Linked DNA regions of Canis lupus familiaris. The protein of the gene in region 1 interacts with the protein of each later gene in a pairwise test. Links are inferred from orthologs where the notes say so. Each region holds a gene or a part of one and is shown on either strand. Other genes may lie near its edges.

Region 1 (10,369 bases):
GTCAGGGAAGATGAAGCCCAGGGACACACACTCAGTGCTCACCTGGTCCTTGGTTTGCACTAGAGCCTCCAGCTGCTCCAGTGACTGGCCTGGCCCTTCCTTCTCACTGACCGAGGGTGGCTCCGCCACCGCTGCCTGGGCCTCCAGCTCAGCCACCTGTGTGGATAGGAAAGTCAGCCCCTGACACCCAGCCTGAACTCTCCTGGGGAATCTGCCCTTGCTCGGTCACACCCATGACTAGGCACTCATCCCCTCTGATTGGGGCCACCAACATGCAGCAGGTAGGACTTTAGGGTTTGACAATGGTTGGCATTATCTCAGACCCATAATACAGAACAAGAAACTGAGGCTCAGAGAAATGACCTGCAGAGATCACACAGCCAGGCAGTGAACCCAAGGACGGATAGGACCTGCGGAGGCCCGGACTCCCCAGCTGCTGGGGCCACTCGGAGTCTCTGGGAGGAAGGGATCCTCTCACCCGCTGCCGCAGCCTCTCGGCCTCGGCACGCTGGGCCTCCAGCTGCTGCCTCCACTGGGCGGCGGCGGCGTTGGCTTCTCGCAGGGCGCCCGCCAACTTGTTGTTGCTGTCCTGCAGCGCGAAGAATTCCGCCTCCCACTGCACCTCGCCCACGGAGCTGCAGGGGTGCAAGGGTTGGCGGCGCGAGACCCGGCCCCAAAGGGTAGGGGCAGCGGCGGGGCGGGGCCGTGGGCGGGGCCCTGGCAGGGGCGGGGCCACCTGGGCGGGGCCTTGGCAGGGGCGGGGCCATCTGGGCGGGGCCTTGGCCGGGGCGGGGTCAAAGTAGGGGCCGGGTGCCCGCCCAGGGAGACGCACGGAAGGGGCAGCGGCGTCAGCCCCTCGGGGCGTGCTCCGAACCGGGCGCGGGTTGGAGACATCGTGGGTTTAGAATTCGCTCGGGGAGGCGTGACCGAGACAGGGTTAGTCCCCGGGAAGGATGAGGTCGGGCAGGGGCGGCCCGAGAAGGCGTGCTCGAAGGAGGAGCGCGTTGCAGGGGCGAGGTCGGCTCCAGGAGGGGCGGAAGCGAGCCAGTCTCCTCCCCTTCCCGGGCCTTGGGTACAGTCCGATCCCGCGGCCCGTCGCGCCCCAAGGGCTTCTGAGGAGCAACTCCGGGTGCCTGGCGTCCTGCCACCCCCCTCTGCTCGCCCTACCCGCCTCACCCCTCGGACAGCATCTTCTTGAGCCGCTCGCGCTCGGCGGGGCCGGGGACGTCGGCGCTCTGGCTACGGAACAGTTTCTCGTCGCCGGGGCCATTGGCGCTGACGAGGGGACTTGGGGGCACCTAAGGGCGTGCGTGGGCAGAAGAGGGGTCACACTGGGGTGTGGCTTCGGCCAAGGACCGGTAAGGTCATGGTTGGGGTCAGCGCTGATGTCACCGGTATTGTGACTGAAGGCCAGGGTCCTTTCCAGCCCTGGGATGCAAGCGCGCCCCTCTCCTCATCTACCCTCTGTGGCTCCCCATGGCCCCTGGGCCAGAGTTCCAGGCACTGTGCCCCCACTTAGCCTCCCTGGGCTCTCACCAAGGCCCCAGGCACACCTGATTCAGGCTGGTCTAAATAAACCACTGAGATACTCAAAATCTGCAAAGGTGGGGGGAGCAATGTGAAACCTCTGTGCTATTCCTTCATAGCTATGTCCTTCCCTGGGGCCAAATTTCCACCTGCTTTTAAGATTCAGACAGGAAGCCCTCCACCAGGCCGAATTCATTATGTATCCCCCTCACTGCCTGGCCCGCGGGCTCTGAGGGTCCGGAGCAGCCTGCTTTTTCATCTCTGTCACCCTCTTTCCCAGCCCTGGGCCTGGCACACAGTAGGTGGTCAGTAAATTATGCTGAATAAATTAGTGGGGGAAAGCTCCCGGGACAGTTTCTCACTTGGCCACCCCCCCCCCACCACCCCCATTAGCTATTTCAACCTCCGGGTTTTTACTCCGCCATCTAAGCTGGTTTCCAGGCCTTCGGTGATCCAAGGCTAGGCCGGACCCCCAGGATGTGCTCCTGAGCCTTTTCTTCCAAGGCTCCTGCTGTAGGTGGAGTTTTATGGGATCTGTGAGCATTTGGTCCTGGGCACCAGCACAGTACCTGGACCCTCAGTATCAGCTGAGTGACTGGCAGGCATGGGACAGGAAATACTGACCTGGTGGGCAGCGAGCGCCAGGGCTGGACTGGTGAGCTCCCCCCCATCCTGAGATTTCTCCCTCGCCAGCCTCGCTGCTTCCTTTACTTCCTGGAACTTCTCAGCAAACTGGGGGTGGGGAGGGGAGCAGAACAAACAGTCAAAGCCAACCCAGCCCCCTCTCCCAGGGCCTCACTTGGTCACCCCCACCCAGCACCACCCTTGTCACTTTGAAAGGGACTTTAGGAGTCATGCATATCCTCTGGTCTCATGAACTGGAAGAGTGGTCAGGAGGCTTGGAATAAGTTGTTCCAGTGAGCAGACTGAGTATCATGGTGGAGGTAGGATTTAGGTGGACGTGAATTCCATGGAGCCACCTTGAGAAAGGGATCCCCTGGAACGCCTGAGTGGCTCAGCGGTTGGGCATTTGCCTTCGGCTCAGGGTGTGATCCCAGAGTACAGGGGTCGAGTCCTGAATCGGGCTTCCTTTGTGGAGCCTGCTTCTCCCTCTGCCTATGTCTCTGCCTCTTTCTCTGTGTGTCTCTCATGAATAAATAAATAAAATCTTGAAAAAAAAAAAAAAGAAAGAAAGAAAGGGATCCCCTTCCTCTCAGTCAGGCTTATTTCAGCAAGGAGAGCCTCAGGTGGGTGCTGTCTTTAATGCCCCGGACACTTGTGAATATCTTTTTATAACACAGAGAAAGCAGGTCTTGGGCTCAGAGCCTCTGAGAGGCACCTGTACTCAGTGAAAAAGTAAATCACCCTCTTCTCATTCCTACTCTACCTATACCGATTTTCCAGTTAGGGTAGGATACACTGGTTTTCATTTTAAAATAAACTTCTTTAGTTTGAAAATAATTTTTTAAAGAAAATGTTTACACACAGACGGTCACTCGATTGGGGGGAAGAGACCAGTGCAAGTCGTTGGAGGGAAATCATCTCAAAAAACGGTTGAAGAGCAACTAAATACTCAGTGAGAAAAAATACTCCTGCTTTATACCACCCACAGAAATTAATTCAAGACCTAAATTTGAAAGGAAAATGAAAGCTTCTAGAAGCAAAGAGAATCCTCACGATCTCATTAGGAATCAGAAAGCACTACTCATCCAGGGGAACAATGGGATGAGACAATATTGAAGTCTGAAGACAGCAGAGGGTGGAGGGAGGCAATGATGAAGGTAGTGCTAGGGTGTGTGAGGGAACTCCCAGCTCATCCCAGGCACCCAGAGAAGGGCGGGGTGTGTCCAAAATTGGAGCAGATGGCCAGCAGAGCTGAGACATGAGCCAGGGAACCAGGAAGGGTTGTCTAATTCTCATGCCTATTCTACAGCACCTGCCCAGAGGCCCCCAGGGCCCTAAGAGGAACCCCAGGGCCAGCCCTGTCCTTCCCGCCATGTAATCCTGCAAGCCCACCTGGGTCAGATGCTGCTCAGAAGCAAAGCCAAGGCCATAGACGGTGTTGGCACGACTGTCTGCCCACTGCCCAAACTTCTGGGAGGTTTTGGTAAAGGTCATGTTGGGGGTGACGGTGCTGTTGATGATGGCCTGGGAAGAGGGAAGAGGGGGGAACACAATTCAAGCTTGATGAGACTGACAATAATGAACATGAGACCCCCAGGGTGTCACTTTGTATTAGCTCTTGGGAGGTTCTAGGTGTGAGCCATCTCAAGACAGAGACTGATTTAAGGGCTCCTCCCAACCCCCAGCCCCCAGGCACACAGCAGGGTAATGACTAGACCCAAACCTGCCTCTGAGACCTCAGGAGCCTGCCACCCCCACCCAGGCCCTGCCAGGACCTTGGCACCCCCAATGCTGATGATTCGGTAGACATTTCGGGTGGCATCATAGAAGTAGGAGACCGTGAGTGCGTGCTTGCCCGCGGGGATCCAGTTCCGCTTGGTGGCCGGGTCAATCTGGAACACATGTGCCCGTGTGCTGAAGATGGGCTGCTCCCTGCGTGGGGAGACGGTTCTCAGTGGGGCTAGGCATCCCCCAGGGGGCTCAGGGCCAAGCTGGGGAGGCAGGGGCTCACCTGGCTGTGGACATTGGTCAGGTTGGGTTGGGTGGGCTCCAAGAGGCAGCCAGAGGGATGGCAGGAGCTGCGGGTTCAGCCTCTGGGGGGAGAGAGGGATTGTGAGTGTCTCCCCAGGACAGGCTTAAGGAAACCAAGCGGGTCCAACCTCAGGACCCACCACCAGCCACACCATTCATAGAACCTCAATTAGAAAGGTAAAGGAATCAGCAGATCATTCAGCAAAAACACCCTGTCCCTCTCCTTTGGGAGGAAGCCCCCACACACCCTGAGCAGGAGATGACTCTCCGAGAGGAGCCAGGTGGCCCTGGATCTCCCAGCATAAACTTGTCAGCATGCTGGTTACTGAACCCAGAGTGACACCCCCTCAATACTGGTGCTAGATAGAGAAGGCCAAGGTGAACTCCTACTTGGTATTTTCTGCCACATTCACTCATCACTCCCCAAACCAGGATCTCCATCAAAATGTGGCCATCACCAGATGCCTCCTGGGAGACCAGTTCCTCCTAGATCCCACAGAGGGACCCCTCAGCTTCCACTCTAGGGCAGAGGCACACTTGGAGGCAGAGTCCAAATCCCCAGGGAGCTGCCAGCCTAGTTAAGAAGATGTAGTCAAACAAATTTACCCTGGTACCCACTAACCGATTGCCCATGACCACTCTATCCCAATACCATGCAGGGCTGGGTGGCATCAAGGATTGGGAGATCCCCAGCCCCTCTTGCTGCCTCCAGCCACGACCTCACAGATACCAGGAATGGCTGCCCTGGAGAATTCCTTAACCTCACCTCTGTGCCTCCAAAACCTGCATCTGGGGGATCTGCAGGGGACCAGGAGGGACCTGGGGAAGGGAGGTGGCCAGTGGGGGAAGGGAGGCCCCCCGCGGAGCGGCCTCCCTGGTCAGAGGAGGGTTGCCCCCCCACCCTGTCCTGGGCAGCTGCTGCCCGGGTCACAGGGTCTGAAACCGGAGCCCCTGTGTGGGGGAGGGGCGGCAGCGCTGGCCCGGGTTGGGAGCAAGTCCTGGGTCGAAGCAGGGTTCCAGGGTGCAGGGGTCCCAGAAACCCAGGCCCTGCCGGCCCTGACGGTCCTGCCGCGACTTGCAGCTTTGGGGAAAGTTACTCACCAACTAGTCATGTGCCTCGGTCGCCGCCGGCCGCGGGGCTCCCGGAGGAGGCCCGGACCCCGCCCGGTGCCAGGATCCCCAGTTGCGTGTGGGGGCGAAGCCCCACCCCATGCGCCCCGGGCTGGGGGGCCTGGTATTCAGTAAGGAAAGAATTCCCATCCGCGTCAGAATCGGGGCGCCCAGTGCGCTCCCCGACTTCGGGAAGTGCCACCCTCGACCCGGGAACTTCCGAGATTCGCGCGATGCCCCCCGACTCCGGGTCCAGAACTTCGGGGATCCCTCGCACCACCTCCGACTTCTAAATTCCGGGGACTCCCTGCCAGCTCTCCAGCCCCGGGTCGGTGATTTCGGGATCCTCTCGTGCCGCCTCCCAACCCCAGGCCGGGAACGTCGGGGACAGCGCAGCCTCCTCCAACGCCGGGTCCGGAACTTTGGGAACCCCTCGCCCCGTGCCCTCTCCGACCCCGGCTCCGGAACTTCGGGGCCCCTGCGCCCTCTCAAGCCCTGGAACTTCGGGGCTCCCCGGCCGCCCCCAGCCTCCCGGCCCGGAACTTCGGGGACCCCCGCGCCCTCGCCCCGGCCCTGGCACCTGGGGGCCCCCGCGTCCCCCGCGCAGGCTCGGACAGCCGGGCTCACCCTGCGGGCTCGGCGCCCCGCGAGTGTCCGGGCGCGAGTCGGGTGCTGCCCCGCGGCGCCGACTCCCCGCAGCCGGGCGCCCCGCTCGCTCGCTGGCTCCGGGGCCCGCGCCCTCCGCGCCGCCCTCCGCGCCGCCCGCGCCTTTGTCTGCGCCTCCGCCGCCGCCCGCGCCGCCTCCGGTCCCATCGCGGCCGGTCCCGACGCGGCCGCCGCCCGCCCCGCCTCCCCGGGCCGCCGAGGCCGCCCCGCAGCGCCCCCTGCCGGCCCTCCGCGGCGGGGGGGGGAAGGGAGGGGCGGAAGCCGGGAGCGGGGCGGGACGGGACTCCCTGGGGGCGGGGGGCGGGGTGAAGAGCGGGGAAGAGGGCCGGGGCGGATGGGGACAGAGACCCAGACCCAGAGGCAGAGACATGAGGGAGAGACACAGGAGGCAGACAGATGGAGGATGGGGCTTGATCGTCCTGTCGGGGCGGCCCTGGCCCTCGGGGCACTGCCTGAGGTCATGACCTTCTGCCTTTGATGGGAGTCCCTCTCCACCTGACAGGGATCTAGAGGCCGGGGCTCCTCTATCGCACGGAGCTGGGTGCTTGCACACAGTAGGTGCTCAGTGGGTGTAGCCTGGAAATGAAACAGACACAGGCTGGGCGAAAGCTAGAAGAGGCTGAGAGAGGCAAACAGTAGGCACTTAATGAGACTTGATCAGGGGTGCCCCGTTAGGAATCGTTCCTGCCTGACTCCCCCCCCAGCTCCAATCCCCTGTTGGGGAGAGGCTTCTATCCACCTTGTCTCCCAGGAGAGGAAGGTAACAATGCCAACATGGTCGAATTATCAGTATTGCTATGTTATAGGGTCTCAGAAGCCAGGGTAGAGCGAATATTGGGGCCCAGCTCCCACCAATTGTGCAAATCTCCTGGAGGTCCTCAGGCCTGGGTTTGCCATCACTGGTCAGGGGGAACCCTTCAGGCACTTGCCAGGAGAGGGTCCAACTGGAGATGAGCCAGGATCAGCCTCCCCAGGCCAGGGTCTGCCTGTGGGACCCACTTACTTGGCAGTCCAGTGGCTGCCCTTTCTCTGGACTCCTCCAAAGTCACACAGTGCCATCGGGTTCGTGGACAGAGGCACTGCAGCTCCCTCAAACCGAGGCCTACAGTTCCCTAAAGCCCTAAACCTCATGCTTGAGCTTTCCAACAATCTCAGAGATTTTGCTTTTTGCCTTCTCCGCCCCGTCTCATTTCCCTGTTTTTATTTCTGTTTTCCCCTGACCAGAATCATCTGGGCTGGTAGCTATCTTCTAATTACCTTTAGGTGAATTCCAGGTCGCGTCGTTTCTGAAGACTTATTTCCAGACCAAGATGGAGTTTACCTTGCTTCAGGCCTTTGCCCAAACTCTCCCCTACACCTGGAATGCCATTTCTGCTGGTGTATATTTGGCCTTGTCCTTCCAGGCTCTGCTCCACTGGCCCCTCTTGCCCTAGAAGCTACTCTATCTGGGGCTTGGAAGGGATCTCGCTGTGTACTGCACCAGGACCCCATCACTTTCTCTGGGACCCTTCATCCGTATTTTTTTTTTAAGATTTTATTTATTCATGAGAGACACAGAAAGAAAGACAGAGACAGACAGAAGGAGAAGCAGGCTCCCTATGGGGAGCCCAATCCCAGGACCCCGGGATCACGCCCTGAGCCAAAAGCAGACACTCAACCACTGAGCCACCCAGGCGTCCCTTCCCTGATGTGTATTATCTGTGTATTACTTCCATCGTGGCCAGGTCTGAGCAGTCTTTGGAGGACTAGCCCATCCTGGAGCCCCAGTCTCACCCAGTATGAGAGGAACCGCTCACCCCTGCTGGGGAAACTGAGGCTCAGGCTCAGTTTCCCCAGCTGCTTCTAACTTCACAAGGCATCTGCACAAGCAAAGGATTTGGCTTCACTTTCAGGCCTGAAGCCACAAAACGCTTTGAACATTGTGGGGAACAAAGAAAATACCGTCTGTTCTGTGCAAAGAGTGACTTTTCCTTATTACCAAAAAAATAATTAAAAAAAAAATTAAGTAACTGGGAAAGGTGCCGACAGGGCCGAGGCTTCTGGAGGCCACTCAGGGTGTGCTGTGTTGGCCGGCTACAGAGCTAGGGCCATGTGGCTATTCTGTGGGGGTGGCCAGGAGAGGGGCCTAGGCTGACTTTATTCCTTGTGTGGGCAGAAGGCAACAACATGACGGAGAGTGGGGAGTTGAATCACTTCCCTGGGCCCCCCTCAGGGCTCCAGGAGAAGTTGGGATGGGGCTCGCCTTGAGCAGCCCTGACCTGATGTAGTGTCACTCAAGTACAAATTGAGGGAATGGCTTTGTCAGTGTGGACCTCACTTTTTTCACCTGGAGAATGGTCTGACGCTTGCAGGGCAAAGGGGTAGAGAGAGGAAGCAGGAGAATCTGGGGAACACGAGCAGCTCCTCACTCTCCTGTGGGTAGAGACAGTAGGGGGCTGCCCCAAGCTGCCACCTCTACCCCAGCCTGAGGCCTAGTCTGCCTGGGGATGTCCTTATAGAATGGGCAGAGGCCACCACCCCAGGGTGGCTGATAAGAAGCAATAGCTTTAAAAAAAAAAAAAAAGAAGCAATAGCTTTCCCTTGGGCATGAGAGAGGGATATAAGGGAACAAACTTCCTGTCACAGAAAAGGCCAAGCAGAGCCTCGAAAAGTTTCTTCAGCTCTAGGGATGCTGTATTTGTAGAGTGGCTCTTATGGGTTAGATTCTGCTCTCTGCCTAGTTAAATCTGACCCACCTCTGGATTGAAGCTAAATTGTCTCTCATCCCTGGAGAGTTCCTATCCCACCAGATCAGGGGAAGTCTGTCACTCTTTCCCAAAGCTACGTGCCCAACTTCATGATGTGGATGACAGTGGCCATTTGGTTACTGTCCACCTCTTCCATGGTTCTGTCCCCAGCACCTAGATCAAGCCTGACCTGCAGCAGGAACTCTTGAAATGCTTCAAGAAGGAGAGGATCCTCAAGCCCCAGTCTTGGTCCTTGGTGGCCTCCAGAGTCATGTGACCAACGAGTGACTCCCAGCCCTGCCTCTTAAGAACAGTGTGACCTTAAAGAAGCCATTTTCCCTCTCTGTGCCTTAGTTACCCCATGTATAAAAGGGACATAAAAATGGTGCTGAAGTTTACTTTAAGGATCCAACAAGTCCTTGTGTGAAAAGGGCATGACCCTGACACCTTAATAAATTCTGGTTGTTATAAACATTATATTTATTCTTGGCTGTCTGGACATATGCTTTTGATCCTGAGCCAAATTCTGAATATTTTCTGTCAGGGGTTGAGAGATCAACTAGGTATGAGTTTTTAAGGACAGAAATAATATCCAACTTGGCATGATAACTTCTAAATCTTTAGCTATGGGACCTTATATGCTCCTCTAGCCACATTCATCCTCTTTCTCCATGTTCCCTCAGCCATGGCCAGTTGGGCCAGCCACCAGACCTTGGCCTCCTAAGAAGCTCCTATTCATCCCACCTCTAATGCTCCCTTCTCTGAGAAGCCATCCCATGTCTCCCTCTAAACTCTCCCCAACACCCTCCCTCCTTCTGACCCAACTCTGATCCTAGGGACTAGGGGTGTCTGTGTCTAGCTCTCCCAGCATGCAGTGGATGCATGGGGGTCATGGCATAGGAGAACTTGATGACTCAATATTGGTGATGTTTCATCACTCTAGAGAGACCCCACCTTAAATTCAGATCCAACTCAACTTCTGCACAAGGCCAAGGTTAATTCGTGAAACAAGCAGCCCCTGGAAGATGTGAAGGGGCTGGGAGGAGGGCATCTGACATTGGGTTTGAGCTCCCGGGAGCAGGGAGGGGTGGAGGGTGGGGGCAAGCAGCACTTGAGCCCCCTCCAAACTCCAAACCTGGATCTGTGGTTTGGTTCCCACAGACCTAATTACCCTCATTTGCCACATGCACTAATTACCTCTGCGGTGCCAGGTGGCTGGGCGGGGCTGCCCCACTTTTGGGAGGTAGGTCGGGGCCCGATTATTTTTGGCTGCGTTGTCCTTGAAGGCTCCGCCATCCTTCTGTGTGAAGGGCAGAAAGTGGGGCGGAGAAATTGCGGCCACATCAGGAGGGACAGTGGGGGACTCAGGGGTCAGGTTGGCCCAGGAGCTCCCTGAGCAGGGGGACTTTGGACCCCCCTGCCTCAGGGTCTTTGGCATCTAGCTGGAGGCTACAAGACCTGGAGGGACTGAGAATCATCCAGTTCAAAGGTGCACTGGTCTGGAGGCCTGTTTTAAAGGTGACACCAGGGGCACCTGGTGGCTCAGTGGTTGAGCTTCTGCCTTTGGCTCAGGTCATGATCCCAGGGTCCTGGGATCGAGTCCCACATAGGGCTCCCTGCTCTGCAGGGAGCTTGCTTCTCCCTCTGCCTGAGCCTCTGCCTCTCTTTCTGTGTTTCTCATGAAT
Region 2 (8,609 bases), on another chromosome or scaffold:
CTCTCCGCGCGTGCGCGCTGTCCTCGCCCGCAGCGCCCGCCTCGCCGCACGGAGCGCGGACCGAGCCGCCGGGACGCAGCCCGCGGAGGACTAAGGCGGCGCTCCCCGCAGGCGCCGCGGCCACCCCGCCCCTCCCCTCCCGCGCGGCCAATCGCAGGGGCCGCCGTCACGTGCGCGGCGCGCGGCACGCCGGGAGGGGCGGGGCGGCGCGGGACGGGCGCGCACGTGCTGGCCGCGGGCTGCGGGGCGGGCGCGGGCGTTCAGGCTCAGCCTCTCCAGGTGCGGGGAGGCGCGGGGGCCGATGGCTTTTGGAGATCAGTGCAGTGCTTCCACCCCGCCGTTGACGTAGCCAAACCCCTGCGGGCTCCCCACCTTTGGGGGACGGGAAGCCAGGCCGAAGGTGGCACGGAGAACAGCAACTAACAGGTGCTTGCTGACTGACAGGCGTGCCTGGCTGGGTGTCCCACCAGCCGGGAGAGGTAGGCGATTGTTTCCCGCATTCTGTAGTCACCGGCCAAATGGAGGTTTAGCGGCGATTCGCAGAAGAGACCAACCAGTTCAGCGGAACCTGGAATTCATTCCCCAACCCCCTCTTTACTCCAGATTACGAGCTCTTTCCTAAGTGTTTTATTCACGAATCTTGCTTTGCATTCTCGGTAATGTAAACAAAGTGGCCTACGATAGGCCAGTGTAGACGCCAATCCACTGCTCATACACAGGTACCAGTGGAGCTGAAATGGAGGGAATGTGAACAGCAGGAAGATGATCCTGAGCCGCCATTGAGGTAAACTGGGTGATCAAGGCTGGCTTTGCACGGGTGGAATGTGGACCCTGGCTGGAGTTACAGGGGCAGAACCTAGGCTGTTTTGAGAGGAGTACAGAAACCTTCAAGGGTCATTATATAGTCCAGTGAGATGGGGCTGAGGGTTCTCACGGGAAAGCAGCCATGCCTGCTGTGGAAAGAACTTGATGGTCTATGGTCTAGCTTTGCATGGCTGGAGCTTATTAAAAATTTTCCCTGGGGAAGAAGTCTTCCCTGACCTCTCAGAACAAAGTACCCATTAAGGAGTGCCACTTCATCCGTTTATAGCCAGTATCCGTATCAGAGAAAAGGCCCATAGAGCAGAAATGATCTTATTCTCTCGTGACCTCAGTGCTTCCTCCAGCACCTGGCATACAGGCTACCAGTAACCATCTGTTCAATCAACACTGAAACCAGACAGGCTATGCAAAATACCAAAAATAAGGTAGGAAGGCCTACTTCTTGGTGGTTGTGAAGATGTGAGATTGGGTGCTGGCAAATAATCAAGTACCTGAAACTAGATGCTCATCCTACCTGATGAGTAAAGGGAAGGCAGGACTGATAAATTATGGCAGCGTCTGAAAGCTGGGCTGAAAAGCAGCAGGATACAGTGGGCGGTTTGAGTCAGCACTGAAGCAGCAGCTTGATGGCCCCAAGCAGGACACATACAAGTTGGGGATAAATTGAATAAATGAAGCATGTGGAAGCTGGTGCAAAGTTTTTAGGGCCCAGGGCTGAAACTGACTTCCACCTGCCCACTCATCCCAGCTAATCCTGCTGGACTGCATCATGGGTCTGCGAGAGGCAGTCTGGTGACGACCAGGCCCAGTTCTGAAACCCCATGGCACTTGTTACATCACTGTAATGTGTACTTTTTAACAATCTACCTATCTCAAAGGCTCTACAATAAGCATGTTTCAGGGACACCTTGGCGGCTCAGTGGTTGGGTGTCTGCCTTTGGCTCAGGTCATGGTCCTGGGGTCAAGTCCCACATCGGGTTCCCATGGGGGGAGCCTGTTTCTCCCTCTGCCTGTGTCTCAGCCTCTCTCTGTCTCTCTCATGAATAGATAAAATCTTAAAAACAAACAAACAAAAAAACAGCAGCATGTTTCATGTCCTAGTTGTTTAGCAAAACCAGTAAATGTTTGGTTGCTTTCTTAGGCTCAGTTATTTTAAAGATTTTTACTTATTTGAGAGAGTGCGTACACGCACATAAGCAGGGGGAGGAGCAGAGGGGGACTGAGAGACAGACTCCCTACTGAGCAGGGAGCCCAGTGTGGGGCTCAATCCTAGGACCCCAGGATCATGATCCATGCCAAAGGCAGACACTTAACCAACTGAGCCACTTGAGTGCCCCTGAGGCTCAATTATTTTGATTAAAATAGTAACTTCAAGAATGTTACTCAAAAGCTGAGCCTGTTTCCTCATCAGTACAATGGCATCATTTCGACCAATATTCCAGTTTTGGGTCAGGCTCATGAGGTATTTATGGAAAGCTTAGTACAATACCTGGCAAGGTAATTACTTCAAACCATCAAGATTAGAACATTATTCACTTACAAAAAGTTTATATAACTGAAGATGTATAATTGATTTATGACACATTCTATGAGGGCGCCAGCTTGGGACTGTCATCGCCCAAACCAAAACAATTTACAAACAGCAATCACCACCCAGTGGAATATCTGTCAAAATCTCCTGGGGCCCATTTGCTTCAATGTGGATGGAACTGGAGGGTGTTATGCTGAGTGAAGTAAGTCAATCGGAGAAGGACAAACAGTGTATGTTCTCATTCATTTGGGGAATATAAATAATAGTGAAAGGGAATAGAAGGAAAGGGAGAAGAAATGTGTGGGAAATATCAGAAAGGGAGACAGAACATAGACTCCTAACTCTGGGAAATGAACTAGGGGTGGTGGAAGGGGAGGAGGGCGGGGAGTGGGGGTGAATGGGTGACGGGCACTGAGGGGGACACTTCACGGGATGAGCACTGGGCGTTATTCTGTATGTTGGTAAATTGAACACCAATAAAAAATTAATTTATTTAAAAAAAAAAATCTCCTGGGGCATGGCCCTCATGAACAGTAAACCCACTCTAGCCTTCAAAGACCATGCCTTGCTCTGCCTTTTATGAGTTATTTGTGTCTCTAAGGGCAGCAGCTGGGTCTGGCACACAGCCAGCAGGCACCCACGTCTGTACAAATGGACATCTTATGGGGACTTCCATCACGCGCTGACACATCCCCAGGGCAAAATCCCCAGGAGAGGATCATGTCAAGTGGTTCTAAGAACAAAAATATCGAGGACATTCACCCTCTAACAGGACTATACGATGAATGATGCTCAGGAACAAACTAAGGAGCCCTGATTATGAACTCCAGATAGTAAACTGCTGTTGCAAACTCTCCCTCTCCCAAGAGCTCCTGGGGGAAGGCATAAGGGCTGTCAATCACAATGTAAGCATGTGACGAAGGTAGGAGACTAAATGGTTAGACTTTATTCCACCTTCAAACCTCAACAATAATCAGACAAGCATTCCACTGGGCATCCAAAGCCTTCTAAGCTCAGTGGAATCACAAACTCCAGCTCCACGTCACCATCCGGTTTAAGTTTCTTCCTCTGAAAGACACAAAATGTCAGAGAAATGAGCCATGTCCTACTGGCGCCCTGCTTGTGATTTTTTTTTTTCTTTTTTCTTTTTTTTTTTTTTTACCATCTCCACTTGGAAGTTAAGCCTTTTGGACTGTTGTGGGGCTAAGGGGAATTTCCTTCAGTCACCAGCTGGAATAGCAGGCACGAGGCAGCTTTGAGCCTGTGTTAACTAGCACAGAGCATCTTTTCTCCTTCAGACCACTGGCTAACCATTCCACTGCCTTTCTCTAGATGCTTCTTCCTCACTCTAGCCTCTCAAAGGCCACACTCCCCCTGAGCCCCTCAGGTGATCTAAAGGCTCTTAAAACAGCTTCTGGCTCTATAGAGTGAAGACTTCTCCAAAGTCTAGTCTCAGGGAGCTCTCCGGCAGTTCTATACCAGGGCTACAGAGCTCAGTCCCTAGCTAGCCTATAGCCACCCTGGACCTCAGAAAGAGGCCTGCTACACACACCTTCCTCCTCTTCCTCCTCCTCCTCTTCATCCTCGTCATCCTCATCAGAGCTGAATGTGCCATCAGGCAGGCTGTAGACGCGGATGACCTGCTTGTTGGGGTCCTTGAGGATGAGGTACTTGCCCTCCTCGAGTTTCATGCAGATGTCAATGACGCAGCGCAGGATGCCCCAGGCGTTCTCCACACTCAGGTTGATCTGGCTGGCAAACTCATTGGGCTTGAACTGCTGGGTGCCCAGGATGACATGGCGTGAGGAATCTTTCACGTGGTACCGGGACACATAACTAGCGGGAAGAAAGGGGTGTTGGTGGTGGAGGCAGGCCTGCACAGAGTCACAGCAACACCCAGGGCCAAATAATCAGTGCTTCCCAAGGGAGAGGGGAGAGGCAAGCCCTGCTCTCCCTGCCCACAGACCCCTCCTTGTAGCAGATGCATTCATGACCCCTGGACACAAAACTCACCCAAGCTTGAGATACTCAGATCCGGCCAGCAGAGCACAGCAGGTCCATCGGGCCAACTTGTAGCTGTTGTTTTTCAGCTCAGTGGCAATGACAGCCCCTCGCTGAGAGTCCAGCTTCTGACGCCAGTCAACGCCGTTACAGTGCTGTGGAAGGCAAGCCCAGCACAAGAGTGAGGGGCGGCTCCTCCTGCCCGAGGCCTGGGACCTCCTCCAGCAGAGAAGGAACTCCCTTGTGGGCTTGACTTGGGAAGTGGGTTAGTCTGCAGGTAGATCCCAGGTAAGACTGTCACCTCTAAAACAGCAAAGACATGGTCCCTCTGCACGCAGCCTCCCACACAGCAGGCACCCAGCAAAGTGTAACTCCTCTTGTCTAGACAAGGACACATCTTTTACAAGTGAACAAGTACCATATGAATGGCAAGGACAAGCGTTCAGCATGTGTTGTGTGGTAAGGAATGGTTCCATGGAGGAAACAGAATAGCTAACCAAGGGGAGGACATGGACAGAGGCTGGAGGTGGTGTGATCTGAGAGAGACAGGGAAAGACAGGTCATAGGCCGGGTCAGCCTTGCATGGAGGTGGAGGCCAGAGTCTAACCCTGTGTATATGCACGTGCATAAAAAGAAGGGATAATCTTCTCCAACCACCTCTCTCATACATGTAGAACTTGGGACTCTGAGCGAAGTGACTAGTTGAGGGTCACATGGCAGAGATTCTCAGATTGCCTTGGTTCATGGAAACCAGAGGCTAATAAATACTAGAGTTCTTTTAGAAGCTAGGCCTAAAAAATTCAGAGATAGATATGTTTCCCTCAAAAATCACCCTTACGAGACTGCTGTGGCATTTCATGAGCCTCTCCACACATCTGTGCTGGACAGAAGCAGCGTGGGGGGGTGGGTGGAGGAGGGTGCTCAGGAGGTCAGTAAATGCGCAGTAACAGGCATGATTAACAGTGTCCTAAACTGGGGTGATGTTGGCAGAACCAAGGGAGAGGAGATGTTTGAGGCTGAGCCTAAGGGAGCAGGAGAGAAATGAAGACATTGGAGGGAAAAGAGATTTCAGCAGAATAACAATGGAAAAGGAATCAGAGCAGATCTGAGGAATCACTGTTAGAATTCACTGTTGAGGCTTCGAGTAGGCATAATTCTAAGATGACCCCCAATGGCCCCTTCCCATGTGTGCATGGCCCCGTGCCGCTGAGGAAACATCACGCCCATAATTATGCTACCCCTTCTATGTCAAAGGTTTTCTGTACACATACTTAAAGTCCCTTAACAAAGGGAGACCACCTGGGTGGGCCTTACATAACCATGAGTCTCTTAAATCCAGGTGTAAGCCAGACACAGATGTCGGAGTTTGGAGGCAGGAGAAAAGTGCTGTGCTGTTGCTGATTTGCAGATGGAGGGGACCCTGGGGCAAGGAATGTGGGTGACCTCTAGGAGCCGAGAAGCCGCAGGCGACAGGTAGCAAGAGAATGGGGATGCTCAGTCCCACAATGGCAAGGAACCCTGAATTCTGCTAAGTAGAATGAGCCTAGAAGTTTCTTCCACAGCCTTCAGATTCATTTTAAGCCTGTAATTTGTTACAGAGCAAAAGAAAACTAATATGAGGCGGTATACAGACGTAATTGTGGCAAAAAGAACTCCCTGAAAGAAGGATCCATTGGAGGTCAAAAAGGAGGAGAACCAGCAGAGAAAACAAGTGAAGGGAGGGAAGAAACATATGGGTCCAGGTAAGGTAGCAGCACAGGGGGCAAAGCCACATGGCTACAGTGATGCCAAATGCTATGGGGAGGCCTGGTGGAAAGTCTAGGATGAGGCCACTGGCCCCAGAGCTAAGTTTGTAGCAAGGCTTCTGGTGTGCTCTTTCATCAGGTGACAGAGACTGGGGAGTGGGAATCAGTGGTGGTAAATGCTAGCCCCAAGGCTCTAATGAAGGCAGAGCAAAATGGCCCATAGACTCCATCTCATCAGACCCCGTTTGACAGAGGCTCAGCCTGAGCCGTCCTTCCCATGGAGGACCCTTTATTTGGTACACAGCCCCAGGAGCACTGCCACCCACTGTAGTCAGGCACATAAGCCTGGGCAGCTTCAGGAAGGGGAGCAGCCCAACAATCACAGAGCACTAGCGTGAGAGGGCAGCAGAAGCAGGAAAGATGAAGGAAGCACGTTTCTTTCAAGAGGCCTCCTGAAGAGTCAAATCTTCACTGATCTGAGAATCTCTGAGTTCAAGAAGTGAAGGAGTTGGAAGAAGAAACCAAAAGGTTGGAGAGAAGGTAGTGGCTGCTTTCAGTGAAAGAACAGATCAAAAGAGCTCCAGGGCTTCCAGGAAACCCGCCAACCCAGACGATGAGAGACCAAACCCCCACGCTTGCAGAGGGCAGAAGCCAACAGGAGGGCAGACTGGAACAGTTTCAGATGAAATCCCATGAGAAGGCAGTTACTACCGCTTCCTATGTGCAAAATAAGAAAACTTCTTAAACTGTAACCACATTCTCTACACATAGACACAAATCTCCTCAATGAGGAATTATGGGGAGGAAAAACTCAGATGGGGAAAAAAAAAATTCCTGGTAGCTGTATGATGCCCGGGGGGGCATGAGACCAAGGCTCAAACGCTAACCAGGGAGTTCGCCAGTGATGGCACACCCTGCAGGAAGAATGGCCAGGGCGACCAAACGCGCCTCACCCTGGAATCCCACTCGTTGAGTGTCTTGATGTTGATGAAGGACACTTCCCCGTTGGCTCCAGTCATGACACCATCGTGTTCACAGCGCACAATAAGGTCAATGTCGTCTCCAAGTTTCCACCTGCGGTACCTGCAGAGCCAACAAGGAGCCCGTTTGGTACCCAAAGCTCCCGGGTTTCAGAGAGGCCGCCCTGCCCAGGTGGCTGACATACCGATAGGCGACAGAGGCGACTTCGTTCTTGTCCATGTCGTCCTCCACAAATGGGTTTGGGTTAGGGAAGTTGTATCTTTCCTTCCCCTGCCAACAGACAAGGGTGTCACGAGACAGCAAGCACCCGTGGCTGAGCCCATGGACCAGCCCCTGCACTCAGCTTACAGTCCTGGCTGGCTCCCTGCAGCCCTTGAGGGGGTGGTGGGCTCCACATGCACTATGTCGTGGGCTGCTTACTCCTCCCAACTTCAAGCACAGACCCCCTGTATCTGAATTCGCAGCCATGACTGACCACTGTCCTGTTTCACTTTTTCTAGAGTACATGCCACCACTCGACATGACATAGGTTTGTTTAGTTTACTATCTTTCCTTTCTGTTATAATGAAGCCTCCTAAGGGCAGAAACTTTGCTTATTACTACTAGATCTCCAGCACCTAAACAGTATATTGTATAAAACAGCATGGGGATCCCTGGGTGGCACAGCAGTTTGGCGCCTGTCTTTGGCCCAGGGTGCGATCCTGGAGACCCGGGATCGAATCCCATGTCGGGCTCCGGGTGCATGGAGCGGGCTTCTCTCTCTGCCTGTGTCTCTGCCTCTCTCTCTATCATAAATAAATAAGTAAATAAATAAATAAATCAGCAAGTTTGTCAAACACCTGAAAGAACCTCTACATCCTGTCTGGCTGAGACAGGTATGCTTAGTATTTTAACCCTATAGAGAAGAAACATACCACACACCACAAAGCTCTGAAGTGGTGAATCTAGGGTTCAGTCAGGCAGTCTGACCTCAAAGCCACAGCTTGGAGCTCTTCTGTGACAGGAAGAGACCATGCCTGCCCCTGCTCAGTCCCACAACCCCACAGCCTACCACAACGCAGATATTCAATGGGGACACTGGGAAGGGGACAAAAGAGAATCTGGTGCCCAGATGCTCTCTCCGCCTTACCATTCTCAAGCACTGCTGGGAGAAGTTGTGATTGATGTAGGTTGCTTCCATGGCCAAGTTGCGGGGTGAATTGAAGGAATTGCCTTCATCTTGTGGGGGCTCATTGGCAGTCTCACTCACTGTCAGGAGGTCTGCAAAAGTGGCAGCGTGGTCACCCACCAGCGAAACCGAGTCATCAACAATGTGCCTGGCAATGCAGGGAGGGGCCACGATCCCAGCAACACAGGCCCATCCTTCCAGCATCTGCTAACCCAGCTCTCCCAAGCGCGGGGTGCAGAGGCGAGGAAGCAGGAAGCACTACTGGGTAACTTCGGATCCTCTCTAACATTAAATTCAAGCACATCATAAGACAACGATCCCCTTTCAGTCCCTTTGGATTCCTCAAAATAATATCTGATTT
Region 3 (9,847 bases), on another chromosome or scaffold:
CCCCCCACCCCCACCCCTGGAGCTGTGCCAACCAGTCTGATCATTGAAGACGCCCTCGTATATTCAGTATGATAGCCTGATGATCGGGCCCCCAACCAGTCCTTCCACACTGCCCACTGCTAGGGTGAAGTTGCCTAAAAGGACTATACGTTCAGACAACTGTCTAGCCAGATGGTTGGCACTACCCATAAAATTAATACGGTTTTTGTCCACTTTCATCTTGGACCTCTGCTGGCATCTCCAGAGAAGCTAGAGCATGAGGACTTGCATTAAAACACACCTCCTCTCCTGCAAATCCAATCTATTTGGGAATCTACTGACCCCCAAATCCTGTATCTCAAGCTTTGGGCAGAGAACTGTGGGAAGAGTTCTCTATAAAGTAGGCTCAGAGTCCCTGGGAGCCTTTCATGGTTGGACTTATGGGATTAAAGATTCTTTAAAGAGGCAGATCAGTAATGATCTCAGATTAAAATGGTCAGAAGTGTCAGTAAACATCTAGCCCTCTCCTAAAAATTAGCTGTGACTTCCTTATAGATCTAAAAGCCCAGTTTCGGTTTTTTTGGGTTTGTTTGTTTGTTTGTTTTTTATGATAGTCACAGAGAGAGAGAGAGAAAGAGAGAGAGAGAGAGGCGGAGACACAGGCAGAGGGAGAAGCAGGCTCCATGCACCGGGAGCCCGACATGGGATTCGATCCCGGGTCTCCAGGATCGCGCCCTGGGCCAAAGGCAGGCGCCAAACCGCTGCGCCACCCAGGGATCCCCCCAGTTTCGGTTTTATCCGTAAACTACCCTCTAAGTGTCTGGACTGGGGACATTAAAGAGGTTTCTAATTCACTTTCTCCTAGGTGAATAAGAGATACACAGAGCTGAGACAAAAATCCCTCAGGAGCTCACACGGAGCTATGCCAGGCCAGCAAGATTGGAGGAATTAATAGAAACCTAATGCCAGGAAGAAGGGAGATGATAGCACTACTCTGTTCTGCAAACTGCAGAAATGTTGAACTTTTCAAGATTCACCATCTCAGAAAGGGGGACACACTAGAGAAGGTTCAGAGGAAGACACCTACCCTTTGCAAAATGGTCGAAGATTTTGGTTAACAGGATGAACTGATGGACAGACAGACCAGCACCGCCCCCCAAATCCAAAATTCAGAAAGTACATTTTCTCTGAAAGGTGGAATTACTAATAACTTTTTCATTTTCTTACGTTTTATTTTTAGATAAGTTGTGTAACTTTCAAAAGTTAGCATCTGAAATAGGTGGACCCCACACCAGTCTATAGGTGGAAACGACCTTAGTAGAGCGGCAGCACCTATGTAACTGCTTCTAAGTGTTTTCTCACATACAAATTTTGTTGTCTTGGCAGAAACCAAGATGCTGCCATAATTTGCAAGACCAAACAAGACATTCAGTTGCCTTATTCTAGTCAGAGGACGACTGTGAACATCAGGTTCAAAGAGGCAAGCAGGCCTTTGGGGCCCTGCCAGTATTTCAGCTTGCATTTGTTGCTAATTCCCAAAATCATTTCCTGGAAGCAACCTGGCTTCTGGAAAATTCCAAAGCAGTTGCAGGAACACCAACCAATGGGCCTTTAATTCCTTAACATATATTAGTTGATCTATGGCCGTTAATATCCAGATGCAATAAAAATCAACATGTGAATAATTCCTCTGAAGTTGCTTCCCTAGCTGCTCCTATTTTAGTCTGAAGACTGTGAAACATCTATTTTTTGTTTCTTTGTTATCTGGAGTTTAAATTCGTCAAAAGACATTCAGTGGTGAGTAAACAGTCTGTGGAACCCCAGCACTGTTTCCAGCAGGGGCTCAGGCTGGCCAGTCTCTCACCATCCGGCACCTTCCAGGTACTGCACAAACAGGAGCCCTGGGAAAGTCACCATGGAAGGCCCTGCTTTATAGAAGGCCCACCAAAAGATCAGTTGTTTGTTTTTTTCCATCAAGAATCCATCCCCCTCCAAAGTTGTAGTCAACCCCACCTGCCTCATGCAACTTCCATCAGAAAGGGCTAGTAGCCCAGGACAGGGCCTTGCATGCAGAGGAGCTGACAAGCATTCTCCACAGAGCTGAGAATAGAGGCAGTTTGTTAGACCAAGTGAAGAACATCAACACAGCCAGGCAGCCAGGAGTGCCACAGACGCATTACATCATTTATGTAATGACGTCACAAAGACACGCTAAACTTTTAGCAAATACCTCTATCCCTTTTCTTATTGTAAGATACAGAGAGAAAACTCATTGTTCTTCCCTATTAAAGTATATCCTACGATGCAAATATAAATCTTATTTCTGATCCTTTTCTCCTTCCTCCCTAGTTTATCACATATACTCTAAATAATATCCAAAATGCATACACCAGTTATGTATTCATTAATATGAACATATTAATAAAACCCAGATTTACGTATATCAACCCCTTACTATCCAATAATGTGCCAGCATTGTTTCTGCTTTCTGGTACAAATTTCACCGGTACCCAAAACACTCCCCATCCCCACCCAACATTATGAAGCTACCATTCTCTCTGAGCAAGAGGCGGATTAACTTGGTTTTTATGGGTTTTTTCAGAGCATGCATCAGTCAATCCATCAATCCAGCTCAAAGACTGGACTGAGTGTTAAAACTTGACTGGTGAGGCCAATCACCGCAGTGAGAAAGGCTCCCGAGGGCGTATGCATGGCCAGTGAGGTCTGCAGGCCCTGACCCACTCCTCGCTTCTCCGGGGCCGTTCCACAGCCAGCCAGGGGCCTCACTTACTTGCATAGGCAGGTTATTCGCCATGGTGAAGCTGGGCATGGGCGGCAGAGCGCTGTACGTGTTTGTGAGGGCTGTGTCTGTCCGGCCCAACATGGAGCCAGAGGTGAAGGAGGAAACTGCAGGAGAAGGACAGTACAGACAATCATGCTGAAAGTCCGAGCCAGGACAAATAGGTTAGACACATTTAGTAGGAGGAGAATGAATATGCAAATTACCAGGCGTGGTGGGTTGTGGGATAGGTTGGTAGACACTGGTGCTGAAACTACTGCTGATGGGGATGTGACTGGGTGTGTTGCTAGCCTGTCTTCTCTGGTTCCTCAGTTTTTCTTCTCTTCTCCATTTGGCCCTCCGATTAGAAAACCATACCTGGAAATCAGATGGAAGGGGTTAGGCCTTTGCCTACTCCCAGCTTAACCTCCCCCCTGGCACCTCCACCCCTCCCCACCCCCAGGACCAGTCCCCCAGGGGCAGCAAATCATTTAGCAGACTGAATCTTCTACTGTTTATATAAATGAATGGTGCTCCTCGGAAGCACCTTTGTCTCCAGAAAGGGCAAATGGTAGGAGTCACAAAGCATGACACCACGTGGTCCCTGGGTACCTGTATTCTTGCTTCAGGTAGATCGATTTTGGCCGCTAGTCTTTCTCGGGCAAACACATCTGGATAATGGGTTCTCTCAAACTCTGAAAGAGTAAGTTGAGTTTTCCGTGTTGCGCCAGAACGACACAAAATGTGTCAACCAAGCCCTAGATCAAGCTGGTTCCCACCTCCCCATTTCTGTCACCTCCAACCAATCCCCTTACAAATGCTACTAGTCCAGGCATTGACTGATGCTTGAAAGAGCTATCCCACTCGAACCAAGTTAAATTTTCTTTGGAATGACATTCATTCGAGGACCCTGCAGTGGCCTGAATGAGCCAAATCATCATTTTTTTTCTTTATGAGAAGTCAGACTCTCACTCTTTGAATTACTGGTACATGAAAAGAAGAAAGAAAACACACACACACACTGAAAAGATGCCCAGGAAAAAAAAGAAAGAAAGAAAGAAAAAAGAAAAACCTTTTCAGTTCTCTATGCAAAGGGCCCTGGCTAAATATAGCTCTTTGTACTGAAGATGTGGCATTTAGTTTGATTTACTGCTTCTCTACTTTGAAAAACTCCATCACCTTTCTCCAGGGCTTCAATTTGCTCTTGGGTAAAGGATGTTCTATTTCTCTGCAGCTTCCGCTTCAGCTGAAGTCGCATTTGGGCCTCATCTGAATCTTCTCCGTTGGAACTGATGGAGTTGGTATTCTCTCCCCCTCCTTCCTGTTGCTGGCAGCCATCTGGAACAAAAAGAATAGGACAGTAAGAGAAATCTGGAATAACTTGGAGCCTCCCAAAGAGGCCTGGGAATAGCCCTACAGTCCAAGAGCACAGTGCATCCTGACAGTCTCACCAAGACATCCTCTGGGTCACTCGGCGTCAGCCTTCTCCTAATAAAAGGCATTAGTGACATCCGTTACCTCTCTCTCTCTCTCTCTCTTTTTTTTTTTTTATCAAGTTTTTACGTTTTTATGTTTTTGTCAGGAAGAGACTTACAACATAGACGTTACAGAGTGGCAGATCTTTGAATAACAAGCGCTGAAGTTTCCAATTAAAATGGCCTTTGATAACTAACCTTGAGTCCCGAATGCCCCGCTCAGTCCCCATTCCCCACAGAATTTATTTACCTATAGCTCTGTTGGGAAAATAGAAGAATGATGTTCAAGATTTCAGCTGATCCATAATCAGTAATTCCTATCTAATCAATTAGATGTTGATAGGTTTGTAGAAAATGCTATTAAGAAACCAAACCAAGCTTGTAATCTTTTTAAAAAAATATTTATCTAGTTTTTATTTGAATTCTGCACAGTCAATTTCATTTTAAAGGTTGTGAATTTAGAAATGCTCGCATTGTTCTGCAGTTTTATTCAACTATTGTATGAGTGCGCTTTGCCTTGACACCTATTACGAGCACAGCTGTAATTATATCATCACCAAGAACAGGCTATAATTGCTGAAAATGGAATTTTATATTTAGATAAAAGGACTGTCCATTCTTTGTAATGTGTTGCACCAGAGAAAAGTAAGATTTCTTTTAAATTTTTAACGTGTAATTTTAAAAAAGAAATAGTAGAGAGTTCACTAACTAGCTAAATATGCTATGCTGCAGCTGAATCCTTGGCATATCATTTAAGTGGTACATTTTTAATTAGGGCATTTCCACCACTTTTAATGTAATTTCTATCATTAAACAGGGGAAAGTTTTATTGTTTTCCCTTGCTGCTTGGAGGGCAAGATGCACACTTGGGCTAGCTGTATCTCGCCTTGCCTCCTGCTCCTGAGGCCACAGCCTGGAGGACTCAGCCCTCTCTAGGCCTCCAGGGCCACTGCAAGCTGGGTCCGAAGTCTTGGGTCCTGAGGCCCCCAAGGGATACCAACAGGGGCTGCCCACCCCCCATCCTAGAAATTTGGCCATTTGGGGGCGGGGAGGGGCCTCTAGGGGCGCCTTGGTGGGAATCGACTTGGCCAGGAATATCATTTATAACCAGGAGACAATAGGCAGCGCCTTCAAAGAGTTCAGGGAATTGTGACAGGATCTAGTGGGATCTTTTCAGGAACTTTGAAATGTTTTAAAACCCCAACTTTCTCCCCCATTTAAACAGGCGGATTCATCGGCACTGGCCACCATATGGGCCCTTGGAGATCTATTGAGATGACCACCAACACTTGAATAGCGAGGGGCTGCTTTTCAGCGCCGCACAATGCCCGGCGAGTAAGGGAAACTATTAAACTCCTGGGGCAGGAGCGTTGGCAAACTTTCGTGGGCAGAATTTTGAGGCCACAATGAGCGCGGACAACAAAAGGATTCTCTTGAGGCGTGCAGCGGGCCACATTGTGTTACAAGAAGCCCAGTCAACAGACTTTTCAGTGAAGTGTGTTAACCCCTCTGCTCTGCTATCATTAATCACTGTCCGAAGAGCAGGCGCCTCAATGCTATTTAGGGCGCTTGGCTGGGGGGATAGAGGGTGGATGGGGGGCCAGGGCAGGGGGTGGGGGGAGGCAGGGAAAGTGGATGGGGACCGGGGCGGGCTGGTGTGGGAGGGGCGGACGGGGAAGGCCGAGAGGATGGAGACCAGGTCTGGGGTGAAGAGGGAAGCAGGGAGGGAGGATGCGGGGACCCTGACGGGGCGGGTTGGAGAGGAGGAGGGAGGGGGCGGAAAAAAGATGGAGGAAGAAAGAGGGCTTCAAAGAGATAGAGACCAGAAAGGTAGAAGAAGGACAGGAAAAAAGTGCTGAGAGGAAAAAGACGCCAAAGGGTCTAAGGAGACAGGGAGAGAAAGGAGAAAAGGAAGACAAGGGAGAGAGAGTCCCTAAACAGGCAGGCTCTACTCTAGGTCCTCCAGCGCTACTTCAGAGACCTGGTGAGTTAGGAGAGGGCTACTTGGCTGAGGGAGACACTCAGTGTGTGGGCACAAGTGTCTGCACTAATTTCCTGCCCCAAGTTTCCAGGTGACTTTCCAAAGTGGAAAGAAAGAAGAGCCCCCTTCCCCCACTTTATTTTGAGATTTGGTGGACGAGAAGGACTTTAGAAATAGCCCTTGGGGGCCAGTTAACTAGAAGTGAGGCCTGTGGGTTATTGCTTTTGGAAAACACAAAAATCTCAGACCATCTTATGTTCAGAGACAGGGGTGCTCAGGGGAACACAGCCCTCTCTTGGGTTGGGGGGTACTCGTGCCTGCCAGGTCACTCATGCCCACCCCAGTGCCTTCTCTGGCATATCTGATCTCACCAGTTAAACAAAGCTACCCAGGTCACCACCTCCCTAGAAGACCCCTGCAAATAACATTCTCTGCTCTCCTTTCTGACATTTTCCCAATTTTAAAACTTGGGAGATTTGCACGCTCTCCTGCCCCTGGCTCCCAGCCCTCACCCCCCAATCTCTCTCTGTGTCTCACTGTCTCTTATACACCAACCAAGGCTCAGACGTGGCTCTCACTGGACACCTGACATTTAGGGGGTCAATGGGATAGAGAGCCCTTTGGAGCGGGGGGAATTAGAGGCCCATCAGGGGAAACCTGAGCCCGCAGGATCCCTCCAAACCCCACAGGGCGGGCGAGCCCCCGCTCCAAGTTTGTCTGCTACTTTCCAAGTAGCAACTGTTGGCAGCCAGGCACTGAAGGAGAGGTCACTCTCTAGGACTGGGTGCCCTTTTCTTTTTCTTTTTTTTCCCCCTTTAGTGGATTTACCTTCCACTCTTAAGGCTTTTAAGAAAATCACACTAAAAGTTGGACAATTCTCGAATTCTCCGTATGATGAACCTAAGTGGCAGACAATTAAGATATCTTCTTTAAAAGGCAACCCCCTCGGAGCGCGCAGAGAAGGGGCCTTCAAGGGGCGCCGTCCACCTTCCAGCCTAATCCGTGAGAAGGCGAGTGAAAGCGCCTCCCATTATCACAGCCCCAGGACCATCTGACGCTGGGGATAGGATTTGTTTCCTGGAAGAAGGAGAGGAGGGAGAGAGAGAGAGAGGCAGAGAGAGGGAGAGAAGAAGGAAAAAAAAAAAAAAGACGCTGGGAAATAAAATCATTCCTTAGTTTCTTAGTGTCTTAATCAGTGAGGCGGAAAACAAGCAAGAAAAGATAGCAACCCGGTTGCGGCACCTTCTCAGCTCGGGAGCGCGGATCAAAACATTGTAGCATCTGTTGAAAAGAGCCTGACTAAATCCTATAGAGGGCCTGGGTATTATGGGGGTGGGGGTGGGGGTGGGGGTGGGGGAGGAGATAAGAAAAAGTGTCTCCGTGATCCCTAAAACCAGCAAACCGCCGGAGAATTGGGGCTGGATAGAGTTGTCTCTTGTTGTCAGGCCGCGCCGTCACGACTTCATTCGCCGCCGCATGGCGTTGATCAGATGGAAACCGTATTTGTCTCCCTCTGAGACCTAACCTCGCCTTATGCTTTCGGAGTAATGGACTCTTTAAAGCCCCCAGACGGCTCCCCGGGCGGGCCGGGGGGGAGGGGGCGGTGGACAGGAGGAGGGGGAGGGGGGGTCGGGGCGCCCAGGGGCCTGCGGGCTCCCGGGCTGCACCTGCACCTGCACCTGCCCCTGCGCGCCCCCCGCGCCCCCGCGCGCCCCGCGCCCGCACCCCGCACCCCGGTTCCTGCGGGCGCGTCCGCGTTCTCCGGCCCGTCGGCGCCTAGAAGTTCCAAGCTCCTGGATGAGCGCCACCTCCCGCCGCCACCAGCAGCACAGGGGCGCTGCTGCGCGGCCCTCGCTTCCCGCCCTCCAGCCGCCCGCGTCGGGCGCCGCCTCCGCTGGAGACCTGGGGCGCGGGGCGAGCGGGGGGGCGGCCGGTCTGCAGCCCCGGGCTGGCGTGCGGGCTCGGGGACGCCGGGGCGCGCGCCTCCTCCAGGCCCCCCGCCACCCTGAGCCCCGGCGCCCAGGGGGCCAGGCCGCGGAGGCCCCGGGGCTCAGCCCCCGCGGGGGAGGGCGCCCCGGGACCCCGGGCTGCAGGGGCTCGAGGCGCGCGCTGCCAACTTCGGGGTGGGGGTGCGCGTGGGGGGGCCCGGCGTGCGCACGCGGGAATCCCACGGCTTCCGAGGTCAGGGAGGGCGTGCGGCCCCGCGCTCCGTCACGCCGGGTCCCGTCCGCGACCCCGCGGCCCGGCGAGGCCGCGCATCCCCGGGTGTGCCCGCTGCACCCCGGAGGCCGCGGGGTCGGGCCGGCGGGGTCGCCCGGGGGAGCCGGGGGCCCGCGCATCGGGAGGGAGGCCTCGGCCGGGCCTGCGGCCGCGCGGGCAGCCGCGGAGCCAGCGCCTCGCTCCCTATCTTCCCAGTGTCCGTCCTATATTGTTTCCTGCTCTTAAAACTGACATGTCTAATTGGCAATTGGTGCCGAATCGTGTCCAGAGGTCTCTTGTGGAACATTTCTACAGCTGTCTCCTTCAACTAGACGCTTATTCATGTCGCCTTAATGAGAAACAAAACGTTCTCTAATGAGCAATTACAGAGCGACAGGATTGTTCCCATAACAAATTCTTGCGAGTGACAGAAGCATCCTTTGTACCAGATATTTCGCATACTGTTACCGATTTTCCCTTCTCGGGCCGGGCTCCGCGGAGGCGCGGGGCACGCGGAGCGGGGCCGGGAGCGCAGGGACCCCGGGCAGCCCCGACCGCGCCCCGCGCCCCGCGCCCCGCGCCGCCGCCCCCGGCCCGGAGCCCCCGGGCTGCGTCCTGCTCCGGGGACTGAGGCGCCACGTCCCATTATCCCGCATATTATCTCCTTGTCACAAGGACAACAAATACCGATTAATCTTCGGAGTAAACTGTTTCCTATTCTTGACCAAGCTACCTCGGGGTGTGCAGGGGAGGGGCAAGCCAACTGGCCCCACCCCACCCCCCATCTGCTCCTCTTCCTCCATTCCTTCTCACGGATCCTGCGACCCTCCAGATTCCTTCTCTCCTCCCAGCTGCCACCACCCCCCCCCCCCCCGCCCTGCACCCCCAGGGAGCAGCTCCGGACACCCCGCAGGCCGGCTCACAGCATCCTCACTCCACCCTTCTGTGCAGTCACCACCCACACAGGGTGAGAACCGGGAGGGCCCAGAGGAGCGGAGGCAATGACCAGAGGTGACCAGAGGCTGTTTGAGTTGGGAGACCACCACTTCCAATTGCCCTATCCTGTACCCCGCCCCGCATCTCGCTGCCCGCCCTTTCTTATGCACCCTACTCATAGTCACATAATTTGTCAATTACGGCAAAAAGCAAAACGATACAATTATGTTTACCTCGCAGGCTGTCAGTGTGTTAACTTGTCACACACTTCTACAGCAAGGGGGCTCTGCCTGCATTTTAATGGCAAATTTGAATAGGGCACCACTCAGCTGACTTCTTACACACGCATATTCCTGCCCATGATATACGTGGGCACACGCACCAGCAACATTCTTACTACTCCTGACCCACGCAACCCTCAAATTCGAAGGCCAACGAGATAGTTCGACAAATACTACCCTCACACGGGGTAAGTCCACGTGTCCCGAGCCTCTAGAC

The links.
Region 2: the proteins of HOMER3 (region 1) and EIF3D interact in binary tests that used the Homo sapiens proteins (3 or more experiments, as listed by UniProt). The two-hybrid records come from large-scale screens. The link is inferred for Canis lupus familiaris from reciprocal best matches to the Homo sapiens genes HOMER3 and EIF3D.
Region 3: the proteins of HOMER3 (region 1) and PAX6 interact in binary tests that used the Homo sapiens proteins (3 or more experiments, as listed by UniProt). The link is inferred for Canis lupus familiaris from reciprocal best matches to the Homo sapiens genes HOMER3 and PAX6.

What each region holds. Positions count from the first base shown.
Region 1 is NC_049241.1:44,584,689-44,595,057, reverse strand, and holds the start of HOMER3 (homer protein homolog 3), read right to left. Parts: upstream 6,056-10,369; 5' UTR 5,920-6,055; intron 5,814-5,919; exon of another isoform or gene 5,284-5,813; intron 4,939-5,283; exon of another isoform or gene 4,245-4,938; 5' UTR 4,177-4,244; coding exon 4,163-4,176; intron 4,084-4,162; coding exon 3,927-4,083; intron 3,676-3,926; coding exon 3,544-3,675; intron 2,260-3,543; coding exon 2,152-2,259; intron 1,299-2,151; coding exon 1,177-1,298; intron 636-1,176; coding exon 479-635; intron 157-478; coding exon 43-156; intron 1-42. UniProt on the Homo sapiens protein: Postsynaptic density scaffolding protein. Binds and cross-links cytoplasmic regions of GRM1, GRM5, ITPR1, DNM3, RYR1, RYR2, SHANK1 and SHANK3.
Region 2 is NC_049231.1:28,899,848-28,908,456, reverse strand, and holds the end of EIF3D (eukaryotic translation initiation factor 3 subunit D), read right to left. Parts: exon of another isoform or gene 8,341-8,609; coding exon 8,210-8,340; exon of another isoform or gene 7,351-8,209; coding exon 7,265-7,350; exon of another isoform or gene 7,183-7,264; coding exon 7,053-7,182; exon of another isoform or gene 5,953-7,052; intron 5,828-5,952; exon of another isoform or gene 5,694-5,827; intron 4,643-5,693; exon of another isoform or gene 4,510-4,642; coding exon 4,367-4,509; exon of another isoform or gene 4,190-4,366; coding exon 3,906-4,189; exon of another isoform or gene 3,895-3,905; intron 3,422-3,894; coding exon 3,408-3,421; 3' UTR 3,277-3,407; downstream 1-3,276. UniProt on the Homo sapiens protein: mRNA cap-binding component of the eukaryotic translation initiation factor 3 (eIF-3) complex, a complex required for several steps in the initiation of protein synthesis of a specialized repertoire of mRNAs.
Region 3 is NC_049239.1:36,055,434-36,065,280, reverse strand, and holds part of PAX6 (paired box gene 6), read right to left. Parts: intron 4,097-9,847; coding exon 3,938-4,096; intron 3,454-3,937; coding exon 3,371-3,453; intron 3,137-3,370; coding exon 2,986-3,136; intron 2,887-2,985; coding exon 2,771-2,886; intron 1-2,770. UniProt on the Homo sapiens protein: Transcription factor with important functions in the development of the eye, nose, central nervous system and pancreas. Required for the differentiation of pancreatic islet alpha cells.